4 linked regions of the Sus scrofa genome follow. The protein of the gene in region 2 purifies or fractionates together with the protein of the main gene of each other region. This does not show direct contact. Links are inferred from orthologs where the notes say so. Each region holds a gene or a part of one and is shown on either strand. Other genes may lie near its edges. The genes, in order: TRIM21, ELAVL1, BTRC and IGF2BP1.

What was found.
Region 1: the proteins of ELAVL1 (region 2) and TRIM21 purify together in Homo sapiens (affinity purification with western blotting; 3 studies listed by BioGRID, with this or other methods). This does not show direct contact. The link is inferred for Sus scrofa from reciprocal best matches to the Homo sapiens genes ELAVL1 and TRIM21.
Region 3: the proteins of ELAVL1 (region 2) and BTRC purify together in Homo sapiens (affinity purification with western blotting; 4 studies listed by BioGRID, with this or other methods). This does not show direct contact. The link is inferred for Sus scrofa from reciprocal best matches to the Homo sapiens genes ELAVL1 and BTRC.
Region 4: the proteins of ELAVL1 (region 2) and IGF2BP1 purify together in Homo sapiens (co-immunoprecipitation; 3 studies listed by BioGRID and IntAct, with this or other methods). This does not show direct contact. The link is inferred for Sus scrofa from reciprocal best matches to the Homo sapiens genes ELAVL1 and IGF2BP1.

The regions. Positions count from the first base shown.
Region 1 is NC_010451.4:5,780,642-5,784,993, forward strand, and holds the start of TRIM21 (E3 ubiquitin-protein ligase TRIM21), read left to right. Parts: upstream 1-1,491; 5' UTR 1,492-1,638; intron 1,639-1,665; exon of another isoform or gene 1,666-1,872; intron 1,873-2,634; 5' UTR 2,635-2,680; coding exon 2,681-3,088; intron 3,089-3,591; coding exon 3,592-3,687; intron 3,688-4,352. UniProt on the Homo sapiens protein: E3 ubiquitin-protein ligase whose activity is dependent on E2 enzymes, UBE2D1, UBE2D2, UBE2E1 and UBE2E2.
Region 2 is NC_010444.4:71,205,826-71,209,995, forward strand, and holds the start of ELAVL1 (ELAV-like protein 1), read left to right. Parts: upstream 1-1,315; 5' UTR 1,316-1,442; intron 1,443-4,170. UniProt on the Homo sapiens protein: RNA-binding protein that binds to the 3'-UTR region of mRNAs and increases their stability.
Region 3 is NC_010456.5:112,552,245-112,555,806, forward strand, and holds part of BTRC (F-box/WD repeat-containing protein 1A), read left to right. Parts: intron 1-1,832; coding exon 1,833-2,064; intron 2,065-3,562. UniProt on the Homo sapiens protein: Substrate recognition component of a SCF (SKP1-CUL1-F-box protein) E3 ubiquitin-protein ligase complex which mediates the ubiquitination and subsequent proteasomal degradation of target proteins. Recognizes and binds to phosphorylated target proteins.
Region 4 is NC_010454.4:25,224,448-25,228,009, forward strand, and holds part of IGF2BP1 (insulin-like growth factor 2 mRNA-binding protein 1), read left to right. Parts: intron 1-887; coding exon 888-936; intron 937-1,448; coding exon 1,449-1,500; intron 1,501-3,562. UniProt on the Homo sapiens protein: RNA-binding factor that recruits target transcripts to cytoplasmic protein-RNA complexes (mRNPs). This transcript 'caging' into mRNPs allows mRNA transport and transient storage.

The sequences.
Region 1 (4,352 bases), on a different chromosome or scaffold from region 2:
TTATATGGGGACAAAAGAAATGAGTAGGAAGGAAGTGAGAGTTTTTCCAGCCTCACCATCTTCCTTCTCTACAGCACATGAGCACACCTATCAGCTGCGCCTACAACCTCTGCTTGGACTCTCAGGCAGCCTGTTATCTCCTGGCTGTCCCTAACACGAGGGTCCTCCCTGAACTTTTAACTCTCAGGCACCATGGTTTACCGTGTCACTTAAAGTCACCTCACTCCCTTTATTCTCAGTGTCCTCTCCTGTGACAATAACTCAACTGCTAAGTCGCTGCGTGGCTTAAAGCAAACAACCTGACACAGCAGTATTAACCCTAACCCTAACCAGTAGGCGGAAGCCACCCACCCCAAGCATCCGTCGACAGATAACCGGATAATCAAAATGAATACTCAGACGCTGGAATATCGCTCAGCCTTAAAAGGAAGGCAGTCCTGTCACCGGCTCCGGTGGATGAACCTTGAGGATCTCAGGTTATGTGAAATACACCAGTCACAAAGGGACAAATACGGTAGGATGCCACTTACGTAAGGCACCGAAAACGTCAAACTCACAGAGACAGAGAACAGAATGGTGGTTGCCAGGGGCTGAGGGGAGGGAGGAATGGGAAACTATTGTTTAATGGGGGCAGAGTTCACGTTTCGCAAGATCAAAGTTCTGTGTGTGGATAGTGTGACGGTCATACAATAATGTGAATGCATTTAATGCCACGCAACTAGACACTTACAAATGGCTAAGATGGTGAATGCTATGTGTATTTTGCTGCAAATTTTAAAATTGATAATAATAAACCTGAGAAAACCCCTAGCTCAGTGAGAAGTTTACAGTTGGTGCTCAATAAATGTCAGGCCCCTTCGTCCCACTCCCTGGTGTGATACCCACCTTGGAGAAATGCAGGAAAAAAATCCCTCTCTCCCCAATGTTAATTACCGCATCTCCTAAAAAGAATTTTTTCCTGAAGTAGGAGAGAGAAACTGGCCTTTTTTTTTTTTTTTTTTTTTTTTTTGCTTTTCAGGAACACACTTGTGGCATATGGAGGTTCCCAGGCTAGGGATCAAATAAGAGCTACAGGGGACGGCCTTCAACCACAGCCACAGCCACACCAGATCCCAGCGGCGCCTGAAACCTACACCACCGCTCACCGAAAGGTCAGATCCTTAACGCACTGAGCGAGGCCAGGGATGGAACCCACATCCTCATGGATCCTAGTCGGGTTGGTTAACCACTGAGCCATGAAGGGAACTCCCTAGAGACGGTGGCCTTTGTGGGAGAGCTCCCCCGAGCTCCTTCGGTCACCCCAAACTCCTTAAGGCAGCTCTGGGTGGCACGGTACGGAGGCTGGGGCTAAGCACCCGAGTCAAAGAGAGCAGCCTCTCCACGGAGCAGTCACACTACTTGAGGCCACTAGACAGAGAGACTTGGAAAGGAGCGCAAAGCAAGGACTGGATGCTGCGGAGCCTCTGAGCCATCCTAGCCCCGGGGCGCTGACACTGGCCGAAGCTCAACGCGCCCGCCTCCCGCCTTCCGCCTCCGCCCCTTCCCTCCCCTTCCTTTCAGACTTGCGCTCGACGGGAAATGCGGGAAATCGAAAGTGAAACTTGGAGCCAGCTATTATCTGCGGAGTCCCTTGAAAAGGTGAGTGGATTCACGAACTCGGTTAGACCCGGGTACCCCAGGCCTCCCCGGGGGACCGCTCTCCGCTGCCCCGGATCTGAAGAGCCCCTTGCAGCCGAGCTCTCTGCTGCCCCAGAGCCCTCTTGGGCGCAGGGTTCCCTCGACCCTAACCGGCGGTTTTCCCCGTGCTGCCGTCCGCCCGGGAGGAGGCTGGGCTGTGAACCGACTTCCAAGTCCTCCGGAGCCCAGGGCGGGGTAGGCCTGCCATCCCCGAGACGCCCATCCACAAAAGTCCCCTCTGGAAACGACAGGGGCAGGGTTGCTTAGGGTATTAGAAGTTTTGGGGTCTGTGCCCTGGAGGAAACAAAGACAGGTGCCTGCTTCAGGAAGCTGAGGGAACAGGTGGGGGAGTGCTCTTTAGACATGTGTGGGTGTGTGGGTGTGTCTGTGTGTGTGTACACACATAGGTATGTACACCTGCACATATGGATAAATATGTGCACGTGCAGATGTGTGTGTATATATATACTTATTTATATGTTCATATTGTGGGTGATAGATAGCTCCTTCCTGCCAAGTTTCAGGGATTAATGAGGAGGAATGTGAAGTATGTGCCTCCCGGCACGGGGGAAGGGGCATGGTAAGTGGTCGCTGCTATTAGGATTAGCTTCTCAGCAGAGCAAGAGGACCAGTGGCTGGAGATGGAAGATGGACGAGTAAGCCTGGGCGCCGAGGGTTTCAGCAGAGATAGACATGAAAGTGGAACTGTAAGCAGCTTGATCTCAGATTCCCAGCAATTTTTGCTATCTCTTTTGAGGACTCAGTTTCCCCTTCTGTCTGACTGGCTCATTGGACCAGACTCCGGAGGAGAAGCCCTTGTGACTCAGGTTGACGTCGTTGTTACCTTTGTTTTCAGCCCCTCCAGTTCACGCTCCCTCGAGGTCTCCTTTGAATTGTTCTGTTTTCCTCACACAGCTCTTCTCATCGCCTTCTTTCCTTTTCTCCCCTCCCCGCTAGGCCACCCCGAGATCTCCTCAGCGCTGCTTCATAGCCCGGCAGCACCATGGCCTCAGCACTGCCCTTGGCAAGGATGTGGGATGAGGTCACGTGCTCCATCTGCCTGGATCCCATGGTGGAGCCCGTGAGCATCGAATGTGGCCACAGCTTCTGCCAGGAATGCATCTCCGAGGTTGGGAAGGATGGGGGCAGCGTCTGTCCTGTGTGCCGGCAGCACTTCCTGCTCAGGAACCTCCGGCCCAATCGGCAGGTGGCCAACATGGTGGATAACCTCAAAGAGATGAGCCAGGGGGTCAAGGAAGGCCCGCAGTGGGAGCTGTGTGCGGTGCACGGAGAGAAGCTTCACCTGTTCTGTAAGGACGATGGGAAGGTCCTTTGCTGGGTGTGTTCCCAGTCCCGGAAACACCGGGACCACACCATGGTCCCCATTGAGGAGGCGGCTCAGGAGTACCAGGTGAGGCCTTAGCCCGGAGGCACCTGGGCACGAGCAGGCGGGAAGAAGGTGGGGCCCTGATAAGCGCTTTGTTCTCCCGGGCTGGGGGTGGGACCGAGTCACCTGTGGAGTTGAGGGGTTGGGGACAGGAAGGGGATCCCCTGCCTTCTATGTCCTATTTAAGGGAAGACCCACCATCTCGGCACGATTTTCCCACTGCCCAGGAGCAGGGCGTCTGTTGTGGGAAAAGGCTGCAAGGCCCATGCTTCTGTGTGGCCTCCTGGTTAATTAGGAACGAATGTGTCCCCACCCCCACCACGCCAACAGGGTACCTCTATTTCCTAAGAAACATCAGGCTTTTTCCAGAGTCTTCCCATCACAGAATGCCCACCCCGGTCAGAGGCTCACCCTTCCTCCTCCCCGCCTCAGGCTTTTCTAAGGACCAGTAGGATCCTCCTGGACCTTGTGCCCCCCCACCCTACTTTTTGGTCTGACTGGGCATTACCCGCTGTCTTTCTCTGCAGGAGAAGCTCCAGGTGGCACTCGAGAAACTCAGAAATAAACAGGAGCAGGCTGAGAAGCTGGAAGCGGATATTGCAACGAAGAGAGCAGCCTGGAAGGCAAGGGGCACGTCCTGAAGGGCACTTTAGATCAGAAGCCTGGGGAGGGTCCAGGGTCCTGGCCTCGAGAGCTCTGTGCATAGCTATGCCCGTCAGGAGACTGGGAGTCCCCATGTGTCAGTCTCCAAAAACCAGCCGTGCCCTGGGTCTCCTGAGAGAAGGGAGCAGGAAAGCACGGTGCCCAAAAGGCGGGCACTCCAGTCAGACGCAAAGACAGGGGGTCTTGGGGAGAATGCACGGGGACAAGACGGACCCCAAAGCTCCTGTTCCTGGAGCCCGGTCTCAGGCGATGACAGCACAGGGCCCGTGTCTGCAACAGAGGAGTCCCAGGAAGGAATGCCCGGTGGCTCGGCCTGTCGGGACATGACAAGGGCTCTGAGGACAGACTTAAGGAGCCATCAAGGCCTGAGGGAGGAAAACCAGCCTGACCAGGGGTTTCTTGACGGCGTGCTGTTCCTGGTGCAAGGTGTCGCGGGAGCTACGGCCTGTTCTGCTCCAGGGCTTGGGCAGCAGTGGGTCAGGAACTAGAGACAGTGGGAGGAGCTCATGGACCCGGGAAGGGTGAGTCAGGCTGTGGCGGCAAGAGAGGTCATCTCGTGTCATCACGTCCCTCTCTGGTCACAGCAGGAGAGGGCAGGCAGAGACTAGCCCAGTTTCCCCCAGGG
Region 2 (4,170 bases):
GCTGGTGATTATTAAATGAGACACTGCTGATTAAAAGGCATGCCCATGATGGGAGAAAGTTCTGTTGGATAAACATGACACTATACTACACTATGATTATTTTTTCAGTGTTCTTGACTCTTTCTGGTCCTTCTGCAGATCCTATTGTCTCAATCTTCCTAACAGTCCTCTTTCAAACTGAAATCCCCACATTCCTCACCTATGCCCTCTGTCCAATTTACTTTTCCTCTTACCACTTTTCACCACTGTGTGTGGAATCCACTTGATTTCTTTTCTGCCTCCTCATCTAGCACTGCACGGTCTCATACAGTAGTCACTGGCAACTGCGCTGTTGAGCCCTTGAAACGTAGCCAGTCCAACTTCAGAAGCGCTGTGAGTGTAAAAAAACACCAGATTTCAAAAGCACGTAAAGAAGGAAAAAAAAAAAAAAACATAAAAAGATCTCAGAACTTTTTATATTGGTTACATGTTGAAACAGCTTTTTGGACATAAATTGGGTTCAATAAAACACATCATTAAAATTAACATCTCCTGTTTCTTTTTATTTTTCCCCCTCTAGCATGGCTATAAGAAACGTTAAATTACTCATGTGGCTAACATTTGTGGTACGCTTATACCGCTCTTGGACAGAGCCAGCCTAGAATGTCAACCAAATAGAGGCAGGTATTTTGGCTAGTTCACTGTGCACACATTGACTGGCACGTAGTAGGCACTCAATTAAATTTTAATGAATGGGTGTTAGGCTGAGCATCGGGGTAAACTGCTAGCTCTGATAAGCAACACTGATGGAACGCTGACGGCATCCCATGCCCCGCCTACTCATTACACCAGATAAGGAAACTGAGGCCCGCCGAGGTGACGTCAGCCCCTGCCCAAGGGTACGTAGTGCGGAAACGCTGGGGCCAGGATTCGAACCCGAGTCCTGCCTTTACAGTCCTGGTGCACTGACCGCTCCTACCTTGTAGGGTGGTAACGGTGGCCGCGGCGGCGGTGGGACACATAGGCTCGAGACACACAAAATGCCCCCGATAAAGGGCGCGGCTCTTCGGTCACCGCCTTCCGTCGGCCGCCGTGGGCCAAGCCCCAACTGGCCCCCTCCGCGGCCATCGCCGGCCACCCGCGTCTCTGCCTGCCGCCGAGCCCTTCTCAGGCGGCGCCAGCCGGAAGTCCCGCCTCCGCCGCGCGCCCCGGGGCGCCGCGACAGCAACGCCGGCCAACGAGAAGCGCGCAGTGGCGGACGCTGGCCAATGGGTGCGCGCGTCGGGGGGGCGTGTCCGGGCCGCGGGCCGGAGCGGGTCGTGCGCGCTGAGGAGGAGCCGCCGCCGCCGTCGCCGTCGCCGCCGCTGCCGCCACCGCTACCGAGGCCGAGCGGAGCCGTTAGCGCCGCGCCGCCGCCGCCCGCCCGACCCGGAGCAGCCCCGGGCCATCCCGCCCGCGTCCAGGTGAGGCGGGGGCCTTCGGCGGCGCTCGACGGGGTAGGCCGCGGCAGGCCTGAGCTCGCCTGGCCGGGCCGCGGGCGCTCGCGGGCCTGCACCGGCCGAGGCCCAGGCCGCGCGGGGCTGGGAGGGGACGCGCACGGGCCTCGGCGAGCTGGCGAGGGCCGGCCGCTGTGGGCGCCGGCGACAGGCCCCGGGCCGGATTCCTTGGCCGCCGCGAGGGCCGAAAGAGGGGGACGCGGCGTGGGCACGCGCCTGGCGGCCGGGCTCCACGGCCGGGCCGGGGTAGTCTTGCAAGCCGGCTATCCGGGGGCGGGAGAGCGAAGCCAGAGACGAGGGAGTCGGGTGAGCGCCTTCAGCGCGCAGAGGTCACGGCCCACGGGCACGCTCCCCGGGGAAATCCTATACATTCTTTTGTGGTCGTTGTCAGAGGACCGCGGCCGATCTGAGGTCCTTTTAGAAGTGTGCAAACCCTTCACTATGTATGAGGGTCGAAGAAAAATATATATTTATGGACGCCATCTCTAACAAAGCTGTTTTTGAGGCGTGGGACGTTTGGGTTTGTAAAATTGTGTGTGTGTGTAAAACATAAACTGCACGCAGTTGAACAATGGAGGATGGATGTTCTTCCTTTTCCGGCGTCCTCCGCTGCTAGGCTTATTAAAATGGGTTCTAATACCTACTGTTTGTAGGGCATGTGGGGAAGAACTTCTGCAGGCCCTGCCCCTGGAGGAACAGAGCCCCCTCCCCTTTACTGAAAGTATTCCTGTGGAATCCTGAGAACCAATGTCCAGAAGTGGGACGATGGGGAGGAGGATTCAAGGGTTTTCAACCTTGGCGCTACTGACATTTGGGATCTGATCATTTTTGGTTTGTGGGGGAGGGCTGTTCTGTGTATGGTAGGATGCTGAGTAGCATCCCTGGCCTCTACCCACGAGACGCCAGCAGCATCCATGTCCCCTAGTTGTGAAGATCAAAAATATCTTCAGATGTTGCTGAAAGTATCTCACACACACACACACACACACACACACGCGCGCGCGCGCGCTTACACATGTGAGAACCACCACTGGACTAAATGATATTACCCTAAAAGTTCCCTTAGCCCCATCTCTGATGCCTTGGAACGGAAGGCTCCCAAAACGTTGAACAGATTCAGCTGTGGGAGCCTTCGTTTTCTTATCTATGAAACAGGACGGATGAGAATATTGCTGTACAGATATTAAGGATGTGGGAAACCCCAGCATTGTGTGTGACCTGTGCCTGGTAGGCATTGAATATATAACATTATAAACAGTTGACAGTGTTTAGTGAGCATTTACTAGGTGTTTTACACTCACAGACTTTTGTTTGTCTTTAGCCTTGAGGTAGGTGCCGTTGTAATTTCTATTTGGGGACAAAGAAACAGGCTTGCATGGGTCACTTAATGTGACCAGTCTCACACAGTGAAGTGTGATGATGGCAGGAGTTGAGCTCAGGCCCTCTGATTCGGAGTCTTTACTCTTAGGCACTGGATTTTACTGCCGTTATAATCGCAGGGTCCAGGGGACCTCAGTTGACATTGCATTGAATTATCATTGAGCATCTTCTGTGTACAGGATTCTGTGCTGGGATCTGTTACAAAATTCAAGGTCCATCAAGAAGCAAAGCTATATGAACATCTCAAAATGTGGAAAAAATGTTTATGTTGAAGCACTGATTTGGAGGCAGAATTTCAGTTTGGATGTGTTGAGTCTGAGGTCATGGGACAGCAAAGTGCAAAACAAGAGGAGAATTATAAAAATGCCATCTTCTTGATGCTTGCTTTTGCCTCTTTCACTCCTGTTCCCACCTCTATCATCTTTCCACACTCCAGCAAGAGTTGTCTTTTTTTTTTTTTTTTTTTTTAATGCAGGTCTGATTATGTTACTCCCAATTAAGAGTCTTCGGGTGGGGAAAAATAATTTTTTAACCTATTTATGTGGCTTAAAAGCTACCTCAAGTTTGAGATCCCAGGTCTTTTGCACTCTAATCCTCCCTTCTGTTTTGATTTTACCTGCACATCAGCCCTAAGCGCCAACCCTTCTCTACCTGTTGCCCCCACTGCTTGGAATGCCATTGTCCTCCACCTCGAGATCTCTTTCTCATGCTGTGTGGCTCAGGTCAGAGCTCACTCACCATTTGAAGCCTCCTCCGACTGCCACACTTCCTCTGGCCACACTGCAAATATTTCTTCCCTCGTTTGTGTCCCCATCTCATTCAATGGAATCAAATGCTGGTGAGAGAAGTGCAGTTGCCTCCTTTCGCCCCAAGGTGGCAGTAGTGATGCAGCGAGGCTGATCGGAGAACTCTCGGTCGGGGAAGACCAGAGGAAACCAGACCACGGAAGGGAGGTTAGTTTTGCTTCCCTCCTTTAACCAACTTTCTCTGCCCTGATGCTATGTCCTAGGCACCATGCTAGGCTCTGGGGGGGGGGGGGCGCATTGGTGATTTCGAGGTGTTGCATAGATTGTTTTAGCTCACTCTGTTGAGTGTGATAATGGCTCTGTGCTGACTGATTTTTCCCCACCCGAAACAGAGAAGGAAACTGTTCCCCCATAAGGGAGATCACAGAATCTTCCCGGAGGAGGTGAAGCTTGAGGGGTGGGGAGGAGTCAGCCAGGCCAAGACTGTGGGGAAGGACTTGGCAGGATGCAGGAACGGTACAGGCAAAGGCATGGAGGCAGGAACATCTTGGTTTGTGCAGGGAATTGTG
Region 3 (3,562 bases), on a different chromosome or scaffold from region 2:
CCCATTTCCTTACCGGTGCTGTGCTGAAAGCTGCTTTCAGCTTCTAAGACTCATCAAATGCCTTGCCAGGTGTTCCCCTTCTCTTTTGCAACCAATTGGAAAAACTCTCTGCTTTTAAAGGCACTCATGTCATTCGGTCATACCCACTGGAATAATCTCCCTATCTTAAGGTCCTGATTTAAGTCATAGCAGTTAGCTACATGTTTGTTTGAAACTGAGAGAAGATGTTTGTATATCTGGGGCCAAGAATTTCTTGTGGGACCATCCTAGGATTTCGCTTGTTACAGAAACATTCATTTATTTTTCTATCCCTTTATCTTGCTTTATTTTTCCTCAAAATCTGTCTGTATTATATTTTCTGTTTATATGGTAATGCTTTTAACTTGCTGTACATAATACAGTGTAAGTTACTGATAGTAGCAATTATGTTATTTTTGTTCAGTGTTGTATTCCTAATGGTTAGGACAGTGTTTGACACATTCCAGATGCTCAATTAATATTTATTGAGTGAGGAGTTCCCGTTGTGGCGCAGTGGAAATGAATCCAACTAGGAACCATGAGGTTACAGGTTCAATCCCTGGCCTCGCTCAGTGGTTAAGGATCCGACGTGCTGTGAGCTATGGGTAGGTCAGCAGCTGTACTCGATCGACCCTAGCTGGAACTCCATATGCCGAGGCTTAAAAGCAAGCAAAACAAAAAACATATTATGAATGAACAACTAATAAAAGATTATGTATAATTGAATACAGTGAGGGATTTTTTAAGTTTTTTAAAAGTATATTGGAAAAAAGTATATGAAAAAATATTAGGATCCCGTGGCCAGTGGTAACGATCGCTGGAACCATGAGGTGCGGTTCGGCCTGCCTTGCTCAGTGGGTTAAGGATCCAGCGTTGCCATGAGCTGTGGTGTAGGTTGCAGACGCGGCTCGGATCCCGCGTTGCTGTGGCTCTGGCATAGGCCAGTGGCTACAGCTCCGATTGGACCCCTAGCCTGGGAACCTCCATATGCTGCGGGTGCGGCCCAAAGAAATAGCAAAAAGACCAAAAAAAAAAAAAAAAGAAAAAAGAAAAGAAAAGAAAAAAGGTATATTAAAAAGGGTATATTGAGCATTGAAGTTATTCAAGTCTTATCTTCAGAGGTACCAGGGTCTCAAAGTATTCATTGGTTTTTCTTTGCATGGAAGATTTCTTACTTGACTGGTAAATAAGTTGTGAGTGGGAGTTCCCATTGAGGCTCAATGGGTTAAGAACCTGACATAGCATCCATGAGGATGAATGTTCAACCCCTGGCCTTGTTCAGTGGGTTAAGGATCTGACATTGCCGCAAGCTGCAGCGTAGGTTGCAGATGCAGCTCAGATCCAGCATTGCCGTGGCTCTGGTGTAGGCCTCAGCTGTATCTCTGATTCGACCCCTAGCCTGGGAACTTCCATATGCCTCGAGTGCAGCTGTAAAAAAGAAAAAAAAAAAAAGTCGTGAGTAGTTATATAAATGCCCAGTAATTGTTGTATACAAGAAAAAGCAAGTTAGCTTTTTTGCTTGCTATAACATACTTTCAGCTTTTGATTTTCATTTGTATGTCTCCAAATAACATTTTCCTCTGAACTTTTGGAAATGGATGCTTAGTCGTTGAACAGTATTCCTAATTTACAAACTTAACAGTTGTATTTCTGTGGTTTTCCATATTATTGCTGTGCACAAACATCCAATTACTAATAGAGTAACAGAGTGAGCTCCATCATATAGACATAACAGAGCATGCCAGACTGGAAAATTATATATCTCCCTTATTTCCAATACTTACTTTTAAATGTTTCTTTTAATTCACCTACAGACAAAACTTGCCAATGGCACTTCCAGTATGATTGTGCCCAAGCAACGGAAACTCTCAGCAAGCTATGAGAAGGAAAAGGAACTGTGTGTCAAATATTTTGAGCAGTGGTCAGAGTCTGATCAAGTGGAATTTGTGGAACATCTTATATCCCAAATGTGTCATTACCAACATGGGCACATAAACTCCTATCTTAAACCTATGTTGCAGAGGGATTTCATAACTGCCCTGCCAGGTATGTCTACGGGTATTTGTAAGCCATCAATTTGCCTGGAAGATATGTTACAATGGGAATCATATTGAATTTTCAGCTATACATCTCTCTTTTTTATTTATTATTATTATTTTGTATTTTTAGGGCCACAGATGCGACATATGGAAGTTCCCAGGCTAGGGGTCGAATCAGAGCTATAGCTGCCAGCCTACGCCACAGCCACAGCAACACCAGATCCTAGCCATGTCTGTGACCTACACCACTGCTCACGGCAATGCCAGATCCTTAACCCACTGAGTAGGGCCAGGGATCAAACCTACGTCCTTACCTCATGGATGCTAGTCGGGTTCATTACTCCTGAGCCACATTGGGAACTCCTGCATCTCTCTTTTTTAAAAAACCTTTATTGGCTTGATTTTTACAAACAGTATTTCAATCATATCTTCTTGGAATATAAATACAAAAATCAAACTCTGTAAAGAGACTTCTCTTTTTCTTCTCTTCTCCCTATCTCATCCCTTCTATTCACCCTGTTTTTACTCACACATAGATTTAAATAAAATCTTGTCTTAGGTGTTATTTGGTTCAAGATGTGTCTTGCTCTATAGCCTCATTGATCAGTAACTAGATATTCTAAACTGTATATTTTAAAATACATACATTTGTGCATATATATACACACACACTTAAATATATATATATATTATCTGTATACACACACACAGAAAGTAATTTGAAAAGTGCCGTGGTTGTTTTACTGAATGTTTGATAGTGAGGTAGGATACTTCATTGGCATCAGTGTTTGGGGAAAATGCTGTCTCAGGAAGATACAAGTTCTCACATGTGGTGAAAGCTTATTTTAAAAGAAAAATTGCACAAAAAGGAGTGAATCTCTAAAGTAGCACATCTTGCTCTTATTTTTTTCAGTTGTTGTTTCCTGATTATAGCAATAAAGTTATAGGAAATTTAGAAACTCCAAAAAAGTTTAGAATATAAAAGTAAAATTTCCCAGAACCCTACCATTCAGAGAGAACTACTGATGTGCTATTAACATTCTTTCTAGGTGTGTATATTTTCCCCTAAAGCTGGGGGAAATGTTGAGTAACATTTTCTAAGTGTTTGTAATATTTTTTTCTTATTATGTTTTCTTAATATATTTTACTAAGTGTTGGTTCTTCTAAAACATAATTTTTTATAATATTGTATATTCTTTATGATGGTTAAAACACATTATTTAACCCCTTTATTGAACATTTAGGTAGATTAAAATGTTTTTTCCGGAGTTCCTGTCATGGTGCAGTGGTTAACGAATCCGACTAGGAACCATGAGGTTGCGGGTTCGGTCCCTGCCCTTGCTCAGTGGGTTAACAATCCGGCGTTGCCGCGAGCTGTGGTGTAGGTTGCAGACGAGGCTCGGATCCTGCGTTGCTGTGGCTCTGGCATAGGCCTAGCCTGGGAACCTCCATGTGCCGCGGGAGTGGCCCAAGAAATAGCTAAAAAGACAAAATAAAAATAAAAT
Region 4 (3,562 bases), on a different chromosome or scaffold from region 2:
GCACAGGTTTAAATCCATATCTGTACCAAAAGAAAAAAAAAGGAGTTTAGCTGCTGCCTATTATCCTGCTGTAATTTGTTTGCATACATGTTTCCCCTAATAAATTGTGAGCACCTTGAGACCAGGTAGTTTGCCTTTTTTTTTTTTTTTTTTTTTTTGTCATTTTGCCATTTCTTGGGCCGCTCCCTCGGCATATGGAGGTTCCCAGGCTAGGGGTCAAATTGGAGCTGTAGCCACCAGTCTATGCCAGAGCCACAGCAACACGGGATCTGAGCCTAGTCTGCAACCTACACCTCAGCTCATGGCAACGCCGGATCCTTAACCCCCTGAGCAAGGCCAGGGATCAGACCCACAACCTCAGGGTTCCTAGTCGGATTCATTAACCACTGAGCCATGACGGGAACTCCAGTACTTTGCTTTGTTTATCACTATGTCCCCAGCAGGTAGAACAAAATCCGGCATGAGGTAGGTGCCGATTGAAAAGGTATCAGATAAATGATTCATGGAATAATTTGTGTAGCTAGCTTTGTATTCTTAGAGCCTGTCACACAGTGGGTTATAGACGGTTACTGAGTAAGAGAACTAGTGAGCAACTAAGAGAGATACACAAAGCAGATGGGACGGGGCGGGGGCGGGGGGGCTTTGGTTTTCCTAGCCTATAGGGCCTCTGATTTGGCCTTCCCATCTGCGGTAGCACTGACAGTAAGCAAGCCCCCCCCCACCACCACATCTTCACTCCCAAAGGTTATCATTCTTCAACTCTAAGGCTTTGGGGTTGAGCAGCAGAAAACAGGAAGGTAGACTGGGATAAGGATTAAAACCCACACGGTCATGGGCCCCTAAAAAGCACCCAGAGCTGTCACTGACACTGTTCTCTCTGATTTCAGGAGTCGGAAAATACAGATCCGAAATATTCCACCCCAGCTGCGATGGGAAGTAAGTGATCGGGGGATTCTCGAATCGGTGGTGTGGGGTCATCACAGAGACTGGGAAGGGAGTCTGGGTCAGCCTGCGTTGGCAGAGGTGACGGGGAGGTGTCCTGGTGGCTTGGGGCTGAGGGGAGACTGGCTGGGTCTCAGCCCTAACCTCAGGCTTCTGTGTTTGTTCTGTCCCTGTGGTGAGAGGCCTGACGGAAGTGGGAGGGGCAGTCCCTGAACCCCAAACTTAGTAATGACAAAGGGTAAGTTAGGGACCCGCGTGGCACAATCCGGCTTCCAGAAAGGCGCTTAAATGTCTTCTTGAGCTAAAGTATATTCTGCAAAGAAACCCCAACAGGTCACCACCCGCATGAGTCCCCTAGAAAGGGCAAAGCAAGCAGGTAGCTGCTCCATCCCCACACCAAAGGCGCCGCCTGTGCCCCAGTGCTTGGGGATGAGGGGTGTCCAGTGCTGGCTGTATGAGTTCCTGGGGTGCTCAGAGCAGCTGTGTCCCCTTCTCCCTGCTCCCAGGTACTGGACAGCCTGCTGGCTCAGTATGGAACAGTAGAGAACTGCGAGCAAGGTAAGAGTGGGCAGGGGAGGTAGGGCAGCGATGGAGGGGTGGGTGTTGGAGGAGCGAGGGGGGTGTCTCCCTGCTTCGATTTCTGTTGCCAAGTTTACCTCCTGGAGCACCAAGAGAAGGCAGCTAAAACGTGGTGTGGAGGGAGGCACACCGCAGTGTGAACCGGGACGTGTGGTCCCGGCTTCAGCTCTACTGCTTCTCTCTGGAGCAGGTTTCTCCACTGTTTCATAAGGAAAGCAACGAAGTCACTCATTCCCAGCATGGGGTCCCCAGGCTCCTGGGGCCAACCAAGGAAGAAATAAAGGTCCCAAGAGTTTAGGAATAAAATCCACAAAGAATGGAAATGGTGGAGTTCCCCTGCAGCACAGCGGATTAAGGATCTGGCGTTATTCCCAACTGTAGCTCGGGTCACTGCTGCAGCATGGGTTCGATCCCTGGCCTAGGAACTTCTCAATGCTGCAGGTGTGCCCCCCCGCAACCCAACCAAACCAAACCAAAAACAAACCCCCCAAAGCAGAGAATTTATTAATACATATTGATAGGCAGGCAAAATCTTTCAAGAGTGGGCCCACTGAAAAGAGAAATAATGAAAGAATGTAGATGGAAGTTGTAGATAAAAAGTTTGCTATTACTTTTTATCATTTCTCCACTGCTTAAGATGATAAATTTTTTTCAAAGGAAATGAACTAAAATAAAATCTGGAGTGATTTTGGTTGGACATAAAGTACAGCTTGGTCATGAGGTAGACAAACACAGTTTGAGCCTGCAGATCTTTTAAGAAACCTAGGCCAGGAGTTCCCGTTGTGGTACAGCGGAAACAAAACTGACTAGTATCCATGAGGATTCAGGTTCAATCCCTGGCCTTACTCAGTGGGTCAGAGATCCAGCATTGCTGTGAGCTGTGGTGTAGGTCACAGACACGGCTCGGATCCCACGTGGCTGTGGCTGTGGCTGTGGTGTAGGCCCGGCAGCTGTAGCTGATTAGATCCCTGGTCTGGGTGCTTCCATATGCCTCAGGTGCGGCCCCGAAAAGCAAAAAAAAAAAAAAAAAAAAAAAACAGAAAGAAACTTAGACAAGATTTAAATATTCATTTCCAAACTCTGTGTGGAATGGAGCATGATGTAAACCATTAAAAGTGATTAAAATACTTGCCTGCACGAAGGTATGAAGTGTATAATCAATCAAACGGGTTCTCTTCTGCTTCAATCCCACGCCTTGCCTTTTATCACAACTGGAAGCACTGATAATCATTGTCCAGTCCTGCTCACAGCTTAGACTGGCCACTGAGTTACTCCCCTGACAGAGACTGAGCAATGGCTTGGACACACATGGAGAGCCTCAGTAGGTGGCCCGGAAGGAGTCACCACTGGTTAAAATCCTTCCTAGGCTCACCAGGGAGGGATAACACACGTGTCCGCTTCCCAGATAGAACAGAATAGAAAATGTGTGGGGTGTTTTTTGGGGTTTTTTTTGTTTGTTTGTTTGTTTTTGGTCTTCTTAGGGCCACACTTGAGGCATATGGAAGTTCCCAGGCTAGGGTCAAAGCAGAGCTACAGCTGCTGGCCTCCACCACAGCCACCGCCACGTGGGATTCGAGTCCCGTCTGCAACCTACACTACCGCTCACAGCAAGGCTGGATCCTTAACCCGCTGAGTAAGGCCAGGGATCCGAACCCGAGTCCTCATGGATGCCAGTTGCGCTGAGCTACCGCGGGAACTCCTCAAACGCTGCTTTCTAAGCAAAGCCCTTTCTCTTCACCGTTTATGAAATTGTACCTCTGGCCACCACCTCCTTTACCCTGCTTTGTGTTTTGCTGTAACACTCACCACCTTTTCACTTTGAGGGGGAGAGAATGACTTTTTTTTTTTTTTTTTTTTTGGTCTTTTTGCCATTTCTTGGGCCGCTCCCGCGGCATATGGAGGTTCCCAGGCTAGGGGTCGAATCGGAGCTGTAGCCACCAGCCTACGCCAGAGCCACAGCACCGCGGGATCCGAGCCACGTCTGCAACCTACACCACAGCTCACGGCAACGCTGGATCGTTAACCCACTGAGCAAGGGCAG